Linked DNA regions of Rattus norvegicus. The protein of the gene in region 1 interacts with the protein of each later gene in a pairwise test. Links are inferred from orthologs where the notes say so. Each region holds a gene or a part of one and is shown in the gene's direction. Other genes may lie near its edges.

What was found. The genes of interacting proteins can lie anywhere in the genome.
Region 2: the proteins of Ctnna3 (region 1) and Pkp3 interact in a two-hybrid assay, tested with the Homo sapiens proteins (2 studies listed by IntAct). The link is inferred for Rattus norvegicus from reciprocal best matches to the Homo sapiens genes CTNNA3 and PKP3.
Region 3: the proteins of Ctnna3 (region 1) and Jup interact in binary tests that used the Homo sapiens proteins (3 or more experiments, as listed by UniProt). The link is inferred for Rattus norvegicus from reciprocal best matches to the Homo sapiens genes CTNNA3 and JUP.

What each region holds. Positions count from the first base shown.
Region 1 is NC_086038.1:25,134,184-25,140,458, reverse strand, and holds the start of Ctnna3 (catenin alpha-3), read left to right. Parts: upstream 1-2,460; 5' UTR 2,461-2,562; intron 2,563-6,275. UniProt on the Homo sapiens protein: May be involved in formation of stretch-resistant cell-cell adhesion complexes.
Region 2 is NC_086019.1:205,617,717-205,622,909, forward strand, and holds the start of Pkp3 (plakophilin-3), read left to right. Parts: upstream 1-1,245; 5' UTR 1,246-1,341; coding exon 1,342-1,573; intron 1,574-3,787; coding exon 3,788-3,867; intron 3,868-3,993; coding exon 3,994-4,625; intron 4,626-4,720; coding exon 4,721-4,844; intron 4,845-5,193. UniProt on the Homo sapiens protein: A component of desmosome cell-cell junctions which are required for positive regulation of cellular adhesion. Required for the localization of DSG2, DSP and PKP2 to mature desmosome junctions.
Region 3 is NC_086028.1:85,823,482-85,828,726, reverse strand, and holds the start of Jup (junction plakoglobin), read left to right. Parts: upstream 1-1,297; 5' UTR 1,298-1,683; exon of another isoform or gene 1,684-1,756; intron 1,757-4,387; exon of another isoform or gene 4,388-4,468; intron 4,469-5,245. UniProt on the Homo sapiens protein: Common junctional plaque protein. The membrane-associated plaques are architectural elements in an important strategic position to influence the arrangement and function of both the cytoskeleton and the cells within the tissue.

The sequences.
Region 1 (6,275 bases):
TTTACATTTGGTTGCCTAGCTGTTGTTGCTGTACAAGTAAAAAACCTCCCGTCTTCAGATTTGAGAACTGTGTATGTGTGTGTGTGTGTGTCTGTGTGTGTGAGTGTGTGAGTGTGAGTGTGTGCATATGTGTGCATATGTGTGAGTGTGTGAGTGTGAGTGTGTGTGAGTGTGAGTGTGTGAGTGTGTGTGTGAGTGAGTGTGTGAGTGAGTGAGTGAGTGTGTGTGTCTGTGTGTGTGAGTGTGTGAGTGTGAGTGTGTGCATATGTGTGCATATGTGTGAGTGTGTGAGTGTGAGTGTGTGTGAGTGTGTGTGTGAGTGAGTGTGTGTGAGTGAGTGTGTGTGTGAATGAGTGAGTGTGTTTGTCTGTGTGTGTGAGTGTGAGTGTGTGTGAGTGTGTGAGTGAGTGTGTGTGTGTGAGTGTGTGAGTGTGTGTGTGAGTGAGTGAGTGTGTGTGTGAGTGTGTGTGTGTGTGTATGTGTGTGGGTGTGTTTACACATTGGTGCGGAGGTGTGTCTGCATGGAAACCTGAGGTTGACATCAGGTATCTTTCTCAATGGCTGTCTATCCAATTCACTGGGGCAGGACCTCCCAATTGAACCCAGAGTTCACCTTTATGTCTAGCCTAGCTAGCCAGCCTGCCCAGGGACCCCCAACATGCACCTTCCCAGCAGTGGAGCCACAGGCGGGCCTCCATGCTCAGACATTTACTTGGGATCCAAATGGTGTTCCTTATACTTGCTAAGCAAGCACGTTATGCATGGAGAGTGTTGTTGTTGTTGTTGTTGTTATTGTTTTGTTTCGAGAAAGGGTTTCTCTGTGGCTCTGGCTGCCTAGGACTCGATCTGCAGACTAGGCTGTCGTCGAACTTACAGAAATCCACCTTTCTCTGCCTTCCAAGTGCTTGGGATTAAAGGCATGTGCCAAGTTTGTACTTTCAGAGTGAATCAGGCAAAAGGATGTTCATCCCTCCAAACAGAGTGTTTAGTTGTAAAACGAGGACTCTGGAGGTTGCATGAGAAATTTGTTAGTTACAACATTGTGTGCTCAAGAGACACATAATTATACTATCATACCAGTAACTGTCTGCCCTATAATTAACCTGTAGCTTCTCCTAGATATGGGCTAATTACTAATAATTGAGCATGGGAGTTAGAAAATGTACGTTAAGCAGACTACAAATCAAATTCATACAGGCCAGACAAACTGGGATATTTCCTAGTAAGTTTTCCTAAGGAAAATGGAGATGTTCTGTTGCAGTTCCTACTGAAGTATGAGAATAAATATCATTCAGTGTACTAGTGAGGATATTTAGAATCTAATGACACCCTCAACTGGCAAAGGGAGGGATTGCATTTAAAAGAATGAGTGACTTTAAAAAAAAAACTAAGTGAATCAAAGAATTGAAAAGTAGAAAGTATTGAAAAATAATATAAAAATTTGTAAATGTGAAGAATTAAGCTAACGCATTAATTAAATATATTCCCAAGAGAAGCTGGTATAAAAATAACCATAATTAGAATTTCCAAGTGTTCTGTTCTACTTTGTAACCAGGAAAGTCGATGGTAGGGAAAGCATACAGTAGGAAGAAATGCATGAATGCCTTGCTTCTATCTCTAGTAACAATTTCTATTACTTAAATTACTTGATTGATATTTAATTAACATTTGAAAATTATTTGTTTTATGCATATGGTGTTTTTTTTCCACATGTATGTCTGAGCACCATGTGCGCTCTAGAGCCCATGGAAGCCACAAGAGGACATTTGATCTCCTGAGACTAGAGTTACAGATGGTTGTGAGCTGCTGTTCGAATGCTGGGCACTGAACGTAGGGCTTGTGGAAGAGGAGCCAGTGCTCTTAACCAGTGAGCCACTTCTCTAGCTCTATCAAATTACTTTATTTAATTTAGTACAGGTCTCAATTTATTGCCTTGGCTGTCCTGAAACTCACTATGTAGACCAAGGTGGCCTTCAACTCACCGAGGTTCTCCCGCCTCAGCCTCCCCAGTGCTGGGATTAAAGGCCCGTGCCACCGCACGTGGCTTAAGTTAACTATCAGCTATTTTTACATTGCTGTTGTAAGATCTCTTTCTCTTGGTTCCTTGATTTAATTTCCGTAAAGAGGGATTGGAATATTCTTAGTAATTCATAGGCTTCATAGTTTCAGGAACTACAAAGCTTGCCTGCTGTGAATTCTTTATCTCTACTTGTATATGCTCCATTTTGGCTTTTGGGTGACTTGGGTGTACAGTGTGCCTGAAAGTTGTGTTCAGGCTGATCACGGATGACTTCACACTGCACCTTTGAAGACTAAAGTCTGATGTTTGATTTTTGTCTTTGCTGGCTTGTTGCTTTAAGAGCACCCATCCCCCTTCTCGCTTGAGCCACTGTGCCCTGTCAGTCATCCTGAAATACACTAGGGTGCTTGTCAGGCGGTTTGCTCACAGAGTCGTCATAAGCCAAATTGTGAGCCACAACCGTGGCACCGGCTTAATAAACACAAGGAGCTGCTTAGGCAGTGGCTCAGTGTCTCTGTGGGCCAAACTGTGTCCCGCCACAGGTGAGTCAAGTGTCAACTTTTTAAAATTAGACTTTTGCCATAAGGCAAACCCCATTATGGGCAGATTATTTGCCTGGTTAGATGACTTTGGGGGAACGAAGAGACATGATTTCTCTAAAATGGGATGACTAGGAACTAGGTTGTGCACTTAGGACTTTTATAAGGAAGTCTCCTTTTAGTTATCCTGAGGTTGAGACTTTGTGAAAGCTCAGATTTTAAAAATCTACCATTCAGAATGGATCTGCAGGCATTTCAGACTTAGATACAAATGCAATGTTCAAACAGTTTTTTTTCCTTGTGTAACAGCCCAGGCTGACTTAGTTGAGCAGAAGCTCAGTTCTGCTATTTGGAGTGTTTGATAGTGACATTAAAGACAGCGTGAAAACAGTTCTTGTGAGCCGGTGCCCAAGCCTCAGTAGTCTTACACAGAGCATTTAAAAACTCCAGGGTAACAGGACCTTTATTATTTGAGTAACTGTACACGAGGCACCAGGGACTTCACATTCTTTTAATATAAAACTTGCGCAGTGAGCAGTTTATTTGTGCAAACAATTTGGTTTCTATTATCAGCCTCTGAACTTAAATCGTGTGTGTCACTTGTGCCACTTGTATGCAGCCTTAAGTATTTGTGAAGAGAGAACCAACAAAGCCAGAAGGAATTCGTGGACTTGGATAATTTGTGTGTTGACGTGGAGTTAAAATTTTAAGGCTTTATCTAGTGCAAGGGAAAATGACTGTCTTTGTGGATGTATAGAAAGATAGTTTATCTATTCCTCACCTGTTGTAGAGAGGACTTAAGGTGCTTACAAGGCTACACAAAATTCAGGGTAAGCTAAATTAAATGTGGCGTGAAAAAGAAAGGAAAAAAGTGTGAGAATAGAAAACAGTCAAGAACGAGACTGAACAGGGAAAAAGAGGCCGTTCCCAACCGTGGCTCGACAGAAGAGAAAGTATAGCTTTGTATTTATCATGTGTGTGTGTGTGTGTGTGTGTGTGTGTGTGTGTGTGTGTGTTTATTACATACAGAAGTCTTAGAGAGGGATTTTGGGCAAACCTCCTTGCCCTGGGGGCAGTCTTGAGTGAGAAAATGCTGTTGGATTGTAAAGATGAAGTGGTCATTAAACATCATTTATGTTTCAGTGGAAATAAAAGTGGGGCAGACCTGCCCTTTTGAATCACCAGCTGATTTATGTGGCCTCATGTTTTCTAGGAGCAGGAAAAAAAGGCCTGTTTCTTAATTCAGAAACAGACTAGAGAGACTTGGTGTTTGGGGAAATACTGAGTTGTCTAAATAGAGTTAAGCATCTACATAGCAGAGCAGCTCTGACCAAATCACGGTTGAAAACAAGACGCATTTACATAGGGATTGTACACACATGTCTGTGGATACACACTCCTTGTGTTTTGTCTCATGCGTTGTTGTAATGTGGCTAGTTGCTTTTCTCCTCTTTTACTCTCTGTTTTTTTTGTGTTTGAGACAGGGTCTCACTCTCTAGACCTGGCCTTGAAATCAGAGATGCACCTGCCTCGTCTCCCAAGTGTTGAGATTAAAGACGCGCCTGCCCTGTCTCCTTGAGTGCTGAGATTAACAGTCATTTCGTTCTTTTTCTTTCTTTCTTTTCTTTTGTTTCCTATAGACAGGGTTTTTCTGTGCTGCCTGGCTCTTCCAGGAACTCATTCTGTAAACCAGGCTGCTCCCTAACTCACAGAGATCGGGTGCCTTTGCCTCCTGAGTGCTGGGATCAAGGGTGTGCGCCACCACCATCCGGCTGCCATTTCAGTCTTTTTTTTTTTTTTTTTTTCTGGAGCTGGGGACTGAACCCAGGGCCTTGCATTTGCTAGGCAAGCACTTTACCACTGAGCTAAATCCCCAACCCTGCCATTTCAGTCTTTTTTTTTTTTTTTTCTGGAGCTGGGGACTGAACCCAGGGCCTTGCATTTGCTAGGCAAGCACTTTACCACTGAGCTAAATCCCCAACCCTGCCATTTCAGTCTTTTTTTTTTTTTTCTGGAGCTGGGGACTGAACCCAGGGCCTTGCATTTGCTAGGCAAGCACTTTACCACTGAGCTAAATCCCCAACCCTGCCATTTCAGTCTTAAACTGCAGTAATAGAGACTAGTTCTGGTCTTTATTGACCCAGCCAAGAACCAATTAGGGAATTGACACCTCCCTCCCATCTGTGTGTTCCAGAACAACCTCTGGGGCTTTACCTGGGGCTAAAACCACCAAACCCGTCACTATTTCAATGTACATTTAATTTGAATTTCAAATCCATTTAGGTCCAAACTAACTGGATAAGTGTCCCTGGGAACAAAGGTTTTGGGTAAGAGGGAGGAATTTAAAGATAAACTTGCTGGTGTTTTTTGATCTTCGAATAGCCACAAAACCTCTGCTGTCTTGAGGATTCTGGGCTCAGGGTGTTCCTCCTACTATGCTAACCCTGACGTATGTAAATGAAAAAGAAATGATCATAGAGACTTCTGCTGCCGACACAGCATAGTACTGGAAAAAGATGAGACAGCAGCAGTTAAAATTTTGCTAAAGGCTCCTCATGAGTTTATTCAGACATGAATGTGACGAACTGGGTCAATGGTCAGAGTCTTCTTTTTCTTACTCTGTTATTAAAAATAACTTCAAGAAGAATTAAACAAATAGTATAACGTGCTCAGAAATTGTTTCTATAGTTTTGACAATAAACACATATATAGGCCAACTTTGAATTACTGGAAAGAAAAGTACACATCAAATCGATACCACGGTACTGAGTTACAAGTAGCATTGAATGGATTCATCAGGTATGTGGGACGACTGGTAAACTGGACTCATAGGTTTGGATCCTGGGAAGTAAACATTATAAATAAGTCAGTGGTTAAGAGCACTTGCTCTTCTTTCAAAGGATCTGTGTTTGATTCCTAGAACCCACGGGCTGACTCACAACCATTGTAACCCCAGTTATAGAGATCCAGCGTTGTCTTCTGGCCTCTGTGGCCACTGGACGCACACAGTGCACCTACGTGCAGGTTAAAATGCAGCTGGAGCCAGGCGTGACTATACATACCTGTATGCCTAACAGGTTCCAGTCTGAAGCAGGAAGTTGAGGCCACACAGGGCTAATCAATGAGACTCTGTCTGAAAAAGAGAATTCAAGTTGGGCTTGGGTGCTGAAGTACTTGAGTGGTCCGTCCGAGTGGAGCTGATGTGCTGACACAGCCGAATGACTTCTGAATGAGTTCTTCAAAGAACCCTATCAGACCAACCCAATGTTTCCTTTCCCTCCTCTCCTTTCTCTTTCCAATGCTTGGAATCAAACTTAGGACTTCATTCGTGCCTCAGAGGCCCTTTTCAATGTCTCAAGCCAGACTTTTATGTTTAATTGAAATTCATTGAAAAAATATTATATATAAATATATATACACATTTACATATATAGTATACATAAATATATAACACACACATATACATATTATTAACTTGTGGGCTGGAGGAGATGGGTCAACCATCAAGAATGTATACTACTTTTGTGCAGGATTGGGGTTCTGTTTCCTACACTCATGTCAGGCCACCTGTAATTCCAGATCTAGGGAATCTGATGCCTTCTTTGGCCTCTGACACACACACACACACACACACACACACACACACACACACACACACACACTTTAAAGAAAATCAGCCCTAAAAGCTTGCAACTTGTTAAGTCTGACACAGAAAC
Region 2 (5,193 bases), on another chromosome or scaffold:
GGGTGTGGGGGGCTTCCCTCTCCATGCTTCTCTCCCCGACAACCTCTGACCTCTGACTCCCATCCTCCAGACCTTCCTACTCGCCCTGATCTTATCCCTAATGCTGTCTTTCTCCAAGCACTCTCCGTTTCCAGGATTCTGCGCCTACTCACCCTCTGTTAATGTCTTTAAGAGACCAGGACTCTTAAAGGGCCTGGTGTGAGACAGAGAGCTCAGGCTGAGCCCAGAGACTAGGTTCTAGAAAGAGCTGCAGCCTAAGGATAGAGACCCAGGAATGCTTAAGGGAAGTGCCCAGGCATGTGAGACAACTTGACCCCATAAGCCAACTTTCCTAGTTTTGCCTCTTAACCTTCCCAACCTACCTGGATGGCAGGCCTAACTCACATTGGGAGACCTTGTAGGAACAAGTTTTGGTGCCCCTCACTTCCAGCCTTCCAACTTTCTCTAACCTAGCTCTCCCCCAAAACCTCCTGGCCCCCCAGCATGGCAGGTGCTGACATGAGCCTAGGCCCCTCTGAGTCAACCCCTTGGGGCGGCCCCGCCTGCCTGCCCTGACTCATATGTTGGGAACGGGCCTCCCACCCCAGGCCTGGGGGGCAGAAGCTGAGGAGAGGTGCCAGAGAGGGCCAAGCAGCCCTTCGGAAGCCTCTGTACAGGTAGAGGCTGGGGTGAGTTTCAGGGTTTACAGATCAGGGGGTGGACATATGTCTACCTCACTGGGTTCTTTTATGGAGTTGTCAGGCCCAGGTTTAGGGCCATCATGGAGCTGCTTTGAACCCTAAAACTCCAGCCCTTAAGTTCTCTATCCTTTACCTGGACTCTATAAACCGAAAACTGTCTCTGGGTGCCAACCTTGCTGGGACCTCACCAAGCCCGGGTCCAGCTGTCTTGGAGGCTGCTTGATCTTTGATGCTCTAGAGCTCCCAACCCCCAGGCTGGGACACTCCTTCTCGTATGGCTTGTAGTGACAGGCCCCCACAGGCTTCCTGCCCTACTCTCATACTAAGAACGCTGGCCCCCACGGGGCTTGGTCTGGGCTTGGAAGACTGAGAGCAAGTAGAACCCACGTCCCTGTGGCCCTGTCCTGGGATAGGAGAAAAGGGAAGGCCAGGCGACTCGAGGACACGCAGGGCCAGTTCTTCCGCCCAAATTCCACCTTAAGCAGGCAGAGGCCCCTCCCTCCCACCTGGCCCAGGTGTCCCCGCCCCCAGCCAAGCTCTGGGCTGGGCGGGCAGGCGTCTGTCTAAGAGAGCCAGCCAGGAAGAGACTGGAACCAGGCCTCGAGGGACAAGACCGGGGAGAGGCCCAGGACAGGTGGGCTGGCTAGTCGCCCCTGTCACTATGCAGGAAGGTAACTTCCTGCTGTCTGCCCTGCAGCCTGAGGCTGGTGTTTGCTCCCTGGCGCTGCCCTCGGACCTGCAGCTGGATCGCCGGGGTGCTGAAGGGCCGGAGGCTGATCGGCTTCGAGCTGCCAGAGTCCAGGAGCAAGTCCGAGCCCGCCTCCTGCAGCTGGGCCAGCAGTCGCGGCACAATGGGTCTACTGAGCTTGATGGCTCCGCGGAGAGCACCAGAGGTAGGCCAACTTTGGGCATGGTAGGCAACAGAGGGAGATGAAATTGGTAATGGTGACAGTGGCCGGTGGAGGTGGCTAGGGCAGGAGTGATGGTGCTAGGGGCAGAAGCCTACAAGCTCGGGGGGTTCAGGCTTTGACTCACCTTACAGAGGCCTGCTCTGAGTCACTGCCCCGCCCCAGCAGGCATAGGGAGCCGCCTGGGTGGGGCATCCCTCCTTCCCCAGCCAGGACAGGGGTCCTGGGGCAGGGCCTATCCACTCCCTAAGTTGGAAAGACTTGGGAGGCACAAGGTAAGCAGCCAGGCCCACCTGTCACAACACCCCCCCCCAACACATTCCCTCCCAGAACCACAGAACACAGGCATACTTGAGGTCTCAGAGAGGCCAGAGTGCCTCCTAACCAAATGGGAGTGAGTATAACAGTAGCATGCGAGAGAGGGATGGTCCTGGATAGAGCCCAGGTCTGTCTGGAGCAGGGGCTCCCTGAGGAATTGCAGAACTGGGCCTACCAGGAGTGACCCAGATACATTTCATGAGAATAGCCCACAGGGTACTCCTCAGGGGCAGAGTGTGTGTGTGTGTGTGTGTGTGTGTGTGTGTGTGTGTGTGTGTGTGTGTGTGTGTGCGTGCGTGCGCGCGCACGCTCGCGTGGGTGGGTGGGTGTTGGAGGGTCACTCAGACATGCTAGGCTCAAGGCAGTCACTCCAGAAACATTTCCATACCTGCAAGGCTACGACAACAGGAATTAAGTTTAGACAGTACAATGAACCTCTGTTCGGAGGTCCAAACCTCAGCTCACAGTGGTCCCGTGATGTTGTCTGGCAGAAGGGGCAGGTCAGGAACTAAATTGCTGCCCAAAATCTTATTGGAGCCAAGTTGATGCCCAGGGGTCATGGGGTGGGGGAGGGCACAGGGAGGGGTTAATTACCACCTGGCTACCCCGCTAATTAGGGGGAGGAGGATAGTAATTTGGGGGTGGGCGTAAGGTCCCCAGGCTGGGGTGTGCCCCCTAGGCTGGCCCTCACTAGCGTCAAAGGGTTAACAGCCCCTGCCCAGAAGCCTCATTAACCTGGGTGGGTCTGGGGAGCATCATACTGTCCACCCCCTGAGCGGAATTGGAAGGTACAAAGGAAGGCCCCTTACTCATACTGACCTCTGTAGTAGCTACTCTGCTCAAGGAGCTCTTCCCAAAACCAGAGGAGCCCTGGCAAAGGCTGAGTCCACCCAAGGCCTGCCCACTGTCACCATCAACCCTTGGGATGATGTTTCCTGTGTGGCCTCGCCTCTGCCTCTCTACTCTGTACCATTCTCTCTGTTCATTCAGTCGCCCATTTCCTGTTGTTGTTGTTGTTTAAATATTTATTTATGTATGTGAGTACACTGTAGCTGTCCTCAGACACACCAGAAGAGGGCATCCAATCCCATCACAGATGGTTGTGAGCCACCATGTGGTTGCTGGGAATTAAACTCAGGACCTCTGGAAGGGCAGCCAGCCATCTCTCCAGGCCCCAGATGCCTGTTTTCTTTTCACCCATGTAATCCTCTTTCACCTTCTCTCCCACCAATCCATTCATCTACATATCATTCCAAACTTCTGACCAGCCCTCCCTCCCCAACCGCCCACCTTTCTGTCCACTGACCATAGAGCTGGGCTGTCACCCAGTCCTCAGCTAATGTGCAGCTGGATGGGGTAGGTGTGGTGCCTGCCTCGGGCTCTACCAGGTGGCTCTACCACTGCCGATCTGAGCAGACTGATCCAGAGAGACTGGATCCTTGACCTGTACAGTGTCACTCCCTTGTGAGTGTAGCACAGACTCAGTCTGGGCACAAGAGGCGCTCAGTGGAGGTCTCGGTGCGTTGAGGCAGGTTGGGCTGGCTCTGCTCTGGCAGGGACTGGGCAGCTGATGGAGACCCTAGCATATTCTCCAGGCAGTCCAGAGGTGAGCAGGGCGAGTTGTCTGAACGCCTCTGAGCAGAGAAGGCAGTCTGGAGCTCTAGGGAAAGAGGACCTCTCAGAACAGACTGGATGAAGTCAAGCTGCAGCCATGGCAGAACCATGGAAAAGGGATTAACTCCAAAACTGACTTGGTCTCCCTGCCCTGCGTCTGATGTCACACCCAGGACTGTGATCAGAGACCTCTGGCAGAAAGAAGAAAAAAAGCCAACACTTTCCTATCGGTCACGGTGTCATGGCTGTCACTGTCTCTGTCCACAGGACTGCCCAGGGGTCAATACCACACTATGCAGAGTGGCTTCAGCTCCCGATCCCAGGGTATGAGTGGAGACAAGACCTCGGTGAGTGAGCTCTGCAGCCTGCACTGAGGGGGAGGCTCTACAGGGGAGGCTGGGAGCTCCAGATCAGAAGGGGAGGGTGCCAAGTAAACCCCAGATACCCCTTCACTGTGCCATACCCTCCCACAGACCTTCCGGCCCATCGCCAAGCCGGCCTACAACCCAGCCTCCTGGTCCTCCCGCTCAGCCGTGGATCTGACCTGCAGTCGGAGGCTGAGTTCTGCCCATAATGGGGGCAGTGCCTTTGGGGCTGTGGGATATGGGGGTGCCCAGCCCACTCCACCTATGCCCACCCGGCCAGTGTCCTTCCATGAGCGAGGTGGGGCAGCCAGCAGAGCTGACTATGACACATTGTCCCTGCGCTCACTGAGGCTGGGGCCGGGGGGCCTGGACGACCGTTACAGCGTGGTGTCTGAGCAACTAGAGCCTGCAGCCGCCTCTACCTACAGAGCCTATGCTTACGAACGCCAGGCCAGCTCCAGCTCTAGCCGAGCGGGAGGCCTGGACTGGCCAGAGGCCACTGAGGGACCACCCAGCAGGACCATCCGTGCGCCTGCCATGCGGACCCTGCAACGATTTCAGAGCAGCCACCGAAGCCGTGGGGGTACCGGGTCAGTGTCAGGAGCTGGCCTGGAGCCAGTGGCCCGAGCCCCATCTGTACGTAGCCTCAGTCTTAGCCTGGGTGACTCAGGCCACCTGCCGGACGTACGTGGGTTGGACAGCTACACAGGCCACCGAACCCTGCAGAGGCTCAGCAGTGGGTGAGGAGCTGGGCTTGGAGCAGGGAGGGGACTGTATCATACAGTCTGGCCCAAACTTAGTCTGCCTGGCCACTGACTAACCCCTGATTCTACAGCTTTGATGACATTGACCTGCCTTCAGCAGTCAAGTACCTCATGGCCTCAGACCCCAACCTGCAGGTGCTGGGGGCGGCTTACATCCAGCACAGATGCTACAGTGATGCAGCAGCCAAGAAGCAGGTGACAAATCCCAAATCCTGCTGTCTCTTGATGACTGTCCCACTGGCCCCAATGCCCCCGACGACTATCCTCACCAGCTCCTTAGCCCTGCTTGCTAATCACTAGGCTGGCTGGGCAAACCTCACCTTTTCATATCATCAGCAAAGAAAGGGCAGAAATGCCCTATTTGTATACACTCGCATCACCAATGTGTGTGTGTGTGTATACATATATACATACATATATATACACATACATATATACATACTATATATATGCATACATACATACTATATATACATATATATGCATATATACACATTACCTACATACGTATGCACTTAGTTCCATGCTTGTGAACATGTCTGCA
Region 3 (5,245 bases), on another chromosome or scaffold:
TCACACTTGCCCAACTGAGACATCACACAAGCCCATTAAAGATTCTCTTAATGCGGATCATTTTGAACCCTCTTTGTAGACCAGGGTGGCCTCTAACTCAGAGAGCTGCCTGCCTCTGCCTCCTTGAGTGCCGAGGTTAAGGTTAAAGGCCCGTGTCACCACTGCCTGGCTGCCTGCTCCAGCACTTTTTAAGAACTGTCTCGAACGGACCATCTCACTGGCTTAAATACTGACATTCCTCAGCTGTTTAAGCTACAAAGTTTATTTAATCTCTCCAACCCAAGATAGATAAAGCTAATGAACCCACTTAGATACAGGGTGAAAAGTATACTAGCTGGCCTAAGGTCATACAAAGATTAAGGGGAGAACCCAAACCAGGCCTTCTAATTCTAAACAGAAGAGAACCGGGAACACTCCATCTTTTGTAGGGGGAGAAATCCCAACCTAGCACAAAGCCTATGAAATGCTTTACAAACATCTTATTACTATGTTGAGGCAAGAATGAATAATCCTGACGCTGAGTTGGCTGGCTAGTGAAGGCGTCAGTCCTTTCCCATGCTTCCCCCTGACTCACCTGTTGGACAGGTAGGGGGAAGGGGAGAATAATGAGTCTTACCTGCTCAGGGCTAGGGTGGGGCAAGTAACGCCCCACCTGTTCCATTGGCTTTTGCCTTAGTCTTACTGACAGCCCTCTGTCCAATCATAAGGAAGAAACTTTCTATTTGCCAATAGATGCAGAGTGAGGATGAGACCTCAAGTTGGCGTCCACCCCAGAGTCGACTGGCAGTCCCTGGGGCCAATGGTGAGCGCATAAACAGAGGCGGCCGTGGTAGAGGTCCCGGCGTGAGGCTCCGCCCCTCAATAGGATAGTCAGGCTGGGCAGCCAGTGAGATAACCTCAGAGGGTGGGAGTCTCCCTAGGGGGCGGAGCTTCAAGGGGGCGAGAGGTGTGGCTTGGCTGTCAGGTCCCTTTGCCTTTTGTTCGGTTACTGAGTTGCTGCCTTGGCCAGAGTCCGGAGCAGCCGCCGCCCGAGCGCCCCGAGCTCAGTTCGCTGCCTGCGCCGGCTGTCTCCCGGCCAGACCCGACCCCGACCCGGCTCGGCCCGGCTCCACGCTCAGGTACACCGGATAGGGGTACGTATCACTGAGGGTAGAGTAGGGCAAGCGGCCGAGAGGTTGGTTCCAGCGGTTTCAGGGCAGGTGAGGGCGGGTGCCAGGGAGTGCATCCTACACCAGCGACAGGGGGCGCACTGGGGTCCGGGGCACGGGACCCCTGGGACAAGCGATCTGGGTTGGAGCGCCCCTCCAGGCTCGGTGAACCGCAGGTCTGAGAAGGGCGGGGAGGAACTAGGGCAGGTGCCTCGGAGTTCGCGCCTCCCCCAGGGCCCGCGGAGCTTGCCCGACGCGGCGTCGCTGACTCTCCCCTGGAGCTGACCGGGCAGACTTTGACCCGCTCCGCCTGGTCCCAGATCCCACGGTGACAGGAATTTACCGCTCGGGAAACTTGCTGCCTAGTCTCTTTGGGGCCACCCTCACCCCACCCCACGCGTCATCCTCGCTTTCCCTCCCTCCCTACTCCCCCAGGCCTGGGTGGGGCCCTATTGTCTGCGCCCAGCTTACCCAACTGTGGGGGCCGAGTGCACATTTTCCCAGAGACGCGATTCCCACCTGCTGAGCAGAGCAGGTGAGCGCTTGGAGGACCGAGGCCCTGCCCTGTAGCTCCGAGCTGGACCTGTGGCGCCTCCCTCCGCTCTAGTGTACGCCGGTCTATGGCTTCTCTTACGGAGGTGGATGGGGTGACGGGGGAACTGGTGAAGGGTCTGGGCTCAGTGCCCTACCGATGTCTGTCTGACCTGGTGGCATGGCCTGGAGTCTGGGCCGGTAGAGAAAATTAAGAAACACTCGCCCAGATTTTAGTAGCTTGTGGTTTCCAGAGTGTTGGTAGGGAAACAGCGATATCTTTTGATTTCTGCAACCCATTATTGTTGAGAAATCACTCCAAACAAACTTTCCAGGAGAAAGTAACCGTGGGGGCCTTTTCTAGGATTTTCCCCGTCTCCTTGTTGAGAGCTGATTCAAGGCTTGGTGGTACTTCTTAGAGGAAAGCCTCTTCCCTGGTCAGCTCCAAGCTGAACACAGCCTGTGCGCTTTGACCCGGTTCTCCCTGCCCCCACCTCCATCCTGTTTGCTAGGCCCCTAAGGCCCGAGGTAGGGACCAATGGGGGTGGGTGGGGGCGTTGCTGAAAAGGGAAGTGTCTTCTTCCTTCCCTTTTCGCATCCTCACGGGACCACCACACCCCCTTATATGAGGCCTGCTAAGTGCCTCTCCTCCCAAGCTCTGCCCCTTCCCCAGGAATGGGGTTGGGGCAGGGCTGGGCCAAACTAGGAAGATTGGGAAGAGTGATTAATCTTTCCCCAACTCCCCCGTTCCATCCCCCAGCTTATTTAGCTGGCTGACCATTGAGGCAGGGTAGCATAGGGCAGGAATGTTGCTTGCTGTTCACTGGGTTTGAATTATGAAGGTGCGTCCTTTCTAGAGGACTTGCCAGAAGTCCCTCCTCCACCCACTCTTTAACTGAGTGTTTGGCGGGGAAAGTGGGACAGGAGGAAGTCTTTGCTATGGAAGGCTTCTGCCATGCCAGGCACCCTCAGGGTGAACAGTGTGAGCCCTCCCCTTGGTTCCCTGTGCTGAGAGCTCCTCTCCAGCTGGAATTGTCAACTTCTACTCGGCTTGCTGCACTCTTCTGTACAAATCTGAAGATTGGCCTTTTCATAGGCATTTGGAGTCCAGTCTTCTTGGGGGGACAGAGCAGGAATGACAACGCTAGCGGGGGGGGGGGGCAGAGGGAAGATGGGGTGGGGGTCGTGAGCACTGTTTGCTCTGATTCTCCTGGAAGCTGAGGTGGTGCTTGGTTGTGAATAGAAGAGTGGGGGTGGGAGACATATCCCCCGTAATCTCGCCTTAGGTCCTGTGGTTGGTAAAATATGTGTGACCACCTCTAGGAAGAACTGGGGGCATTAGTTTTAGGCTCATGTCCTCTCCGTGTCAAGGAGGAGGAGGGGTAGGCATTGTCATTAGGTGAACTAAATGAATAGTTTAGCAAATCTGGTTCGTGGCTCTGGTGAAAAGACAGTACTGAGGAAGAAGTAGGGCTATGAGCTGCCCGGCCCAAGCTGGCTTCTGACGGACAGGAGGGAGGGGAAGCAAAGGTAGGATCCGATTAGTCATTTCTCACCAGATCAAGTCTGGGCTTGGGTGACAGAAGCCTCCCCCGCACCCGAGCTCCACCCCATTCCCTCTGGAGCCGCCGTCTGGCCTGCTAAGGTTGAGCTTGGAGAATGCAGCCTGTGGGAACGGAAGGTCAGGCGGGGCCTGCTTGACTGTTTTCCTTCCTGGGGGCCCACAGGTCATTGCCTATGAGAGGGAGGCCTGTCGTCCTGCAGAGCTGCTTTAGGACAAGGTGACACATTTGGCTGGTCCACAGAAGGACAGTGATCTAGGGAGACAGTCTAAGGGGTCAGCTCTGAGAACAGGGACTTGGACTGAGATAGTTTGAATCCCTGAGCAGTGTCTCCTTACCTGTGCAGCCTGCGTCAAAGCACCTTCCTGGCTCAGCGACCTCAGGAATTAATAAACCTAGCTACCCAGAAAGTACTTGACTGATGGTAACTCAAAGCCAGAAGACTGTCTGGTACCAAGCGCCACTAACCATGCTCACAGAGGCAGGCGCACTTTTTTTTTTTTTTAAAGATTTATTTATTTATTTTATGTATATGAACACACTGTAGCTGTCTTCAGACATACCAGAAGAGGGTATCAGATCTCATTACAGATGGTTGTGAGCCACCATGTGGTTGCTGGGAATTGAACTCAGGACCTCTGGAAGAGCAGGCAATGCTCTTAACCACTGAGCCATCTCTCCAGCCCGAGGCAGGCGCACTTTAATGTCTTCTTCAGAAACTCAGGGAAGGATAGCAACTTGCCCAGTGTTGCTAGACTCAAGAGAGGGCTAAGCTCAGACCTCATTCTGCTGTTAGGCTCTACTACAACTCTGGAAGGATTTCTTTTTTCTTTCCCCTTTTTCTTTTGGCTGCTAAGGACCAAATCCAGGGCCTTGTGGATTTGCACGTAGGCAAGCACTTTCCCATGGGATCCATCATCGGCCCTGGATGGAAGTTGTATCCCCCCACTGTCCTTTAATTTTTTTTTTTTCGGAGCTGGGGACCGAACCCAGGGCCTTGCGCTTGCTAGGCAAGTGCTCTACCACTGAGCTAAATCCCCAACCCGCCCCCCCCCCCCCCCGTCCTTTCTTGACAGTCTCTTGTAGCCTAGGCTAGCCTCTGAGGTTGACCTTGAACTACTTCCTTTCTTTTTGATGACAGGGTCTCAAAGTGCAGCCCTGACTGGCCTAGAACTTGCTGTATAGACTGGAGAGGGGAGGGTTTCAAACTGCTCCCCGGGATAACAGGTGCGTGCCACCATGCCCAGGCAAACTTTATAAAACATTCATCATCATCATCATCTTTATGTATGTATGTATGTATGTATGTATGTATGTATGTATGTATGTATGTTGTGTGTGCCTGTGTGTCTGAGCATGCACAAGACCTCTGTGGAGATCAGAGAACAACCTTCAGGAGTTTTTTTTTTCCTTCCACCCTTTAGCCCAATCAGCCATCTGTCAACTCTTCAGACTTTGAACTTGCCATCCTCCTGCCTCTACCTCTCAAGTGCTGGAATCACAGGCATGCGGCACTGTAGCTGGCTTATACCGTGCTGGGGGGTCGGACCCAGGGCTTCCTATAAGCTAGGCGACCGCTCTACCAAGGAAGCTACCTCTTATCCCTAAATGGAAGTTTTTTTACTGCCCCTTTTGGAGGGCCTCAGCTCCAAGGATAGAAGGGAATTTAGGAGAGCCCTGCTAGACGTGTGGGGGTGGTGAAGGCGGGACAGGTTTGTCAGGTGGGAGTGACTCATCCCCTGGCTGCCAGTACTCTGAAGCCTCACCGGCTGCCCGCTCGCCTTGGTCGCTGTGGTAGGTGGTAAGGCAGCTCCTCCAGACCAAGAGCTGAGAGGGTCTAAGTTAGGGGAGACCAGAGGGAAGGACAGCATGGTTCAGAGCTTTCTAGGCTGGACCCCGGATAGGAGGTGGGAGCTACCTGCTTCACTAACTAGTGTCTGGGGCTTTGCCAAGTTTAAGTGGGCATGGGCGGGGGCTGAGGCAGGGGAGACACATGAGTCAGAT